Linked DNA regions of Kluyveromyces lactis. The protein of the gene in region 2 interacts with the protein of the main gene of each other region in a pairwise test. Links are inferred from orthologs where the notes say so. Each region holds a gene or a part of one and is shown on either strand. Other genes may lie near its edges. The genes, in order: RPF1 and MAK16.

What was found.
Region 1: the proteins of MAK16 (region 2) and RPF1 interact in binary tests that used the Saccharomyces cerevisiae proteins (3 or more experiments, as listed by UniProt). The link is inferred for Kluyveromyces lactis from reciprocal best matches to the Saccharomyces cerevisiae genes MAK16 and RPF1.

The regions. Positions count from the first base shown.
Region 1 is NC_006042.1:2,012,167-2,015,167, forward strand, and holds RPF1 (rRNA-binding ribosome biosynthesis protein RPF1), read right to left. Parts: upstream 1,450-3,001; coding exon 571-1,449; downstream 1-570. Other genes in the region: KLLA0_F21692g (pleiotropic drug resistance family ABC transporter), read right to left, coding at 1,986-3,001. UniProt on the Saccharomyces cerevisiae protein: Essential protein. Required for biogenesis of the 60S ribosomal subunit.
Region 2 is NC_006037.1:359,380-362,316, reverse strand, and holds MAK16 (ribosome biosynthesis protein MAK16), read left to right. Parts: upstream 1-1,427; coding exon 1,428-2,336; downstream 2,337-2,937. Other genes in the region: mitotic regulator LTE1, read left to right, coding at 1-989; aminophospholipid-translocating P4-type ATPase DRS2, read left to right, coding at 2,662-2,937.

The DNA.
Region 1 (3,001 bases), on a different chromosome or scaffold from region 2:
TTCGCTTTAGTTACAAGACAGAATTGGATCAGATATTTCCTGTTGTTTTCAAAATGAGTCCAGAATCAACGTTAAGATGCTGAAAACAAAAGAGAGGTAATAGCAACAGTGTACAAAAAAAAGAGTAAAGTGGCTTAGTGTTTTTACTGTCAGTGTTTACTTTCCCAGTGATCGATCGTGTTAATAATTCCTTTCCAATAAAACAACAATAACAAACAGCCTGAAAAAATACTTTTTCTTAGATTGCAATCGATCAAATATAATGACCAAGAATATGACAATCCTAAAGAGCAATTAGTGTACCACCTCTTCAGATCAACAGAGTAACCGTTTGTTTCAATTAATCTTTTCAACAGTGGGCTTGTACTCATTTAAGCCCAAAACATTCCAAATCCTTTAAAGGTTTCAATGCCCTGTTTTCTTTAAAGCCAAGGAATTTCTCATTTTGCCACCACTTTTCGTCAGCCTCGTGAGTAGTGATGATAATACCGTCAAATCTTTGATAAATCTCCAAGTGCAGGACTAGTACACAGGTGGCTTTGAATTTGTATATAAATATATGCAAATATATCATAGATTGAACTTCTTCTTTTCTTTGTCCATTGAAGGTTTGTGTTCCCATTCTGTTTCCTCTTTGATACCTCTTTGTAGTCTTTTGAGTTTCATAGTAAATTGGGGCCCAAGTTCTTGAAGACCTACTTTCTCTTCGTTCCTGAAAACGTAACGGTGTCTGCGGAAGAAGATGTAATCTCTTTGATTATGCAGCGTTATCACTTGTCTACCTTCGAAATCAGGGTTCTTAGGGAAAATAGATTGGAATAGTTTACCCACAGTTTTACCAAGTCTGGTGTTGAAATTGTTCAAGATTAACTCTGGAATATGGCTAGTTGGTCTACCATGGCCCACGATCTTTTCGACTTCGACGAAAGAACTTATTTTGAAATAAAAGGTTGGCCCCTCTGGAAGATGAATAAATGTAAGCCCCGTTACTTTCTTCTTATCTTCATTTATTATCACGATATCTGTATAGTTCCTGTTATTACAGAATTCAGAGATTTCCTTCAGCTTGTATCCAAATTTCCTCTTCACGAAAGTCACATTAGGGAAAACTTCGATCAGGATATTAGCGAACTCATATGCCTTCTTTTTGGCGTTTACATTAGTTGTTAATAGAATCTTTGGTGGTTCGGTACCGTTGAAAAATTTCATAAAATCATCCATTTCACCTTCGACTTCTTGACCCATCGTTTCATCGTAAACTCTGAGGTTATCAATTGTGTCAGGAACATTTTCAGCAAGTCTTTTTTCCTTCAATTCCGGATTCTCACGTTCTTCCTTGGCTCTGGTCCTCCTCATAGAATGACGCTCCTTATTGTGCTGATCCTTCAACTCAGCAAAGAGTTTTTGCCTCTTCTGCTTGTTTTTTATTCTGAGTTCATCCACTGCCATTTTGAAATTATAGTATCGTCCGATTTGCTGTTATGCACCCTCGCTATTTGACCTAGAATAAGCTACATAACTAGCTATGTTCCACTATATTCAACTTCTATCTTGTTAGCCTCATCTCATCTCATCTCATCTCATCTGATCAATACAAAAACTTTCAAAATTTTGGAAAGCTAATTTTCGATAAAAAGAAAAGAGTTCACATTCGTCGCTGCAATCATTGTAGGAAGGGTGAGCTGACGAATATCCCATCAAAGGATCTTGATTACCTCAACGACCATCCACAACAGAGATCCATGCTAAAATTGAATAATTTTCGTACTTGCAATCGAGTTATATTGGGACTTTATATGCAATCGAAGTTTCTTTTTTTGGTTTCCATAGTAATATATGGGGAAACCAGATATCAATTCAGGTCTATATATACAGAATAAACAAAATATTAAAGCAGAACGCAAGCCCACGATAAGAAATGAAGTTTAATAGTTAAAAAAAAACAGAAGTAAACGACGTAAAAATTGGCCAAAAAGCAAAAATCCTTAAACTTGTTCATTGGATTGAGGTTCAACCTTTTCCTTTTGAACATTTTCAATTTTCTTGCCATGATCTGGGTCTCTCTCATCAGCCACTCTGTTCTTCTTCTTTGGAACTCTAGCCAACCAGTATAGGAAAACACAACCGCACCAGTTGAACACAATGAAGACTATGAAAATACCGAAATTTCTCCATCTTCTATGGTACGAAGATTGGAAACTTGTCAAAAATGCGTTTGTTTCAGAAATCTTACAGAAATTACAATCTTCCGTAGCATTTGAATCTAGTAGATAACCACCATTCTTGTCAATATAGTCCGCCATGTACTCACCACAGGTTTCTCCACTCCTTGGATTAAAGCTGACGTATTCATAGTTTGCGCATGTTACAGGGTTGTTTGCAAGACCAGTTGAGAGTACACCATCAATAAAGTAAGTTAGCGGTGAAATACGGTACATGAAAATCCAGAACCCTGGCAAAACACCAGAACCACCAAACACACCACAGAAATTCAAGGACATAGTGAACATTAATGATGCCATATTACCTGCAGCCTCAGCATACTGAAGACCTGCAATACACAATTGACCCATTGAACTGATAAATACGTAGAAGGAAACAGAGAATAACCAGAATAACACACCTCTTTCGTTTAATTGACCGGCATATGACGCATTGTTGTAGAAACCAATAGGATAGTAGAAAACGAAGAAGGCAATGGTACCAAAACATATGTTAAGTGGAATTTCAACGGTGATTTGAGAGAAGATAAATGCCAGCCAAGAAAATGTTCTACTTGGACGTTCCCTAGCTTCGTACAAGTCTCTTTGAGAGACGAACAAAGGCAAGTATTGTTGACAAGCTGGATTAAAGATAACTGTGAATGTGAAGATAGCGAATAATTGATTCTGCAAACCTTGAATGGATAAGTTAGCCTTGAAAAATGTGAAACCAATAAACAACTGCGAGAAGATGGTCAAGAAAAGCTTCGACCAAATGTACGATGGAGTTCTATAATATT
Region 2 (2,937 bases):
TCCAAATCGTACAAACTGCAGCTCTTCCTGAAAGCGCTCGCAAAAGGCAATCCATGTTCATACAGAGAAGACGCAACACAATGATCGATTTTAGCGTTCGTGATTCACTCATTGACAAAGACTCCTCCTGCACCAGATTGGAAAATACTGATGAACAAATTCGTAATTTGTTAAACCAGTACACATTAACTGATTCAAGGCTTAAAATAGACAATTTAGAGCAACATATCCCGTTCATTCTGATGTATGATTCTAAATCTGTGGCAAACCAATTGACCTTGATTGAAAAGGAAATTCTATCTGAAGTTGATTGGAAAGATCTATTGGATTTGACAATGAGTGAACAACTTCCACAATTTACCAGTTGGCTGCAATTATTGGTACAGAACGAAAACTTGTCGGGTATCGATTTAGCCATAGCAAGGTTCAACTTGACCGTGGATTGGATCATTTCTGAAATCGTAATGACTCAGGACATAAGGTTGAGAAGGAACACGATCCAAAGATTCATTCACATAGCCGAACACTGTAAAGAGTTACAAAATTACAATACTTTGATGGAAATCATCCTTGCATTAAACTCCATTGTCGTTCAGAAATTCACTGAAACATGGAGACTTGTCGAACCAGGCGATCTATTGACTTGGGAAACGTTGAAGGCCATACCATCCCTGGAAAAGAATTACAGTAACATTAGACAATTAATAGACGAAGTCGAACCACTTTCTGGATGCATTCCATTTATCGTGGTATACTTATCGGATCTATCTTTAAACATTGAGAAACGTACCTGGATTGTACATGACGAAGTGCTAAATTACAACAAATTCCAAACAAATGTTCAAATAGTGAAAAACTTCGTACAGAAGATGCAATGGTCCAAATTTTACAACATTGATATTGACCATGAGTTGTTAAGCAAGTGTGTTTACATCACATCATTGTCCCATGACGAAATCAATTCAATTTCACATAAATCCCCAATTTAATTCTTTAATGTCGAGTAAAGTATTTGACATAGAACTAGTTAGTCTCAGTTCATTTCACCTCATATAATATATATATCAACACACGATTTTATCAGTTTCAAATAGTTTCATCCACATTTTTTTCGAACATATTTGAATGAAGGTTAATCTCTTTAGATCTAATCATGCATATTCCGACTCTTGATTAAGTTTCCGATTATAACAATAAAATATCATTGGTCATGTGACTAAAAATTTAGTAATCCATTTCTTTTTTCTCTTTCTGCCTGAAAATTTTTGAGAACTGAAAAATATCGATGCGATGCGATGAGATGAGATGAAATGAAAGAAGCAGCGACTAGCGGAATAGCAAGTAAACTTAGCGATAGTCATAACCAATTTAAATAAACTCATACTAAGCATAAACCAGTATCTGTAGGATTGACTGAACATTAGCAGATGTCTGACGAGATCATTTGGCAGGTTATCAACCAGCACTTTTGTGCGTACAAAGTCAAAACTGATAAGGGACAGAACTTCTGTAGAAATGAATACAACGTAACAGGTTTATGTTCGAGACAAGCGTGTCCTTTGGCAAATAGTAAATATGCCACTGTAAAGAACGTGGACGGAACACTTTACTTGTACATGAAGACCGCGGAAAGAGCTCACACGCCTGCTAAATTGTGGGAAAGAGTGAAACTATCTAAGAATTACACAAAGGCATTAGCACAGATCGATGAACATTTACTGTATTGGAACAAGTTCTTAATTCATAAGTGTAAGCAAAGGATGACAAAGCTTACACAAGTGATGATTACAGAGAGACGTTTGGCATTGAGAGAGGAGGAGAGACATTATGTCGGTATTGCTCCTAAGGTGAAAAGAAGAGAAGAGAACCGAGAACGTAAGGCATTATCAGCCGCTAAGATTGAAAAGGCTATCGAAAAAGAATTGCTTGAGAGATTGAAGAGTGGTGTGTATGGTGATAAGCCTTTGAATGTGGATGAAAAGATCTGGAAGAAGGTCATGGGACGTGTAGAAGACGAGGACTTGGATGAAGAAGAAAACGATTGGGATGAGGAAGAAGAAAGCGATGAGGGAGAAGTCGAATTCGTAGAAGATGAAGACGCTGAGGATGAGATGGTAGATATGGAAGATTTAGAAAAATGGCTCGGTGGTTCTGATACATCTGATTACAGCAGTGATGAGGACAGTGACGAAGACAGTAGCGACGAAGATAGCGATGAAGAAGAAAACCCATCTAAGAGACAAAAGAAATCTACACAAACCAGAAAGAGACATCCTAAGGTTGAAATCGAATATGAACAGGAACTAAATTCCAACCAACAAGAACTTGCACAATGATGCGTTTCTGAAAAACAGAGCTCGTCATGACCACATTTGTATACTATTAAATTTGACATATTATTATATTTATTGAAGATAAATTTCCAACTACGATAAAGAAGCAAAGGCAATAGTTAATAATTATATACACTTACAATAGCATCTCACCATCAATAGTATGTCCCCTTTCCCTTCATTTTGTTATACTGTACCCAAATAATGCATTCGAAATAGCAGTCACGTGGAAATATTGTTTCCATGCTGACAGTTTTTTCTTTGTAAATTATACCGGAAAATCCCATTAGGACACATTAAACAGAAAGATTCGTAAACCATTTGCACCATGAAACCCAAGTACTTTGAAAGGGAGATACAGAGCCAGAGAGGAGCGACACACCGATCAACCTGCTTTCCAATGAGTGGCTCAACTAAGCATGGCGACAGCGATGCGTTGTTTGATGTTGACTTTCTTGATGATAGCTACACCCCGGATTTACGGGATAGTCCAAGAAGGAACAGCCCAAGTGCAGTAATAGATTCAGGAATGGATACCTCACAGAGAGGCTTACTCCCACAAGAGACCATTGACCTCAGTGACAACATAGAGAACGACATTGAA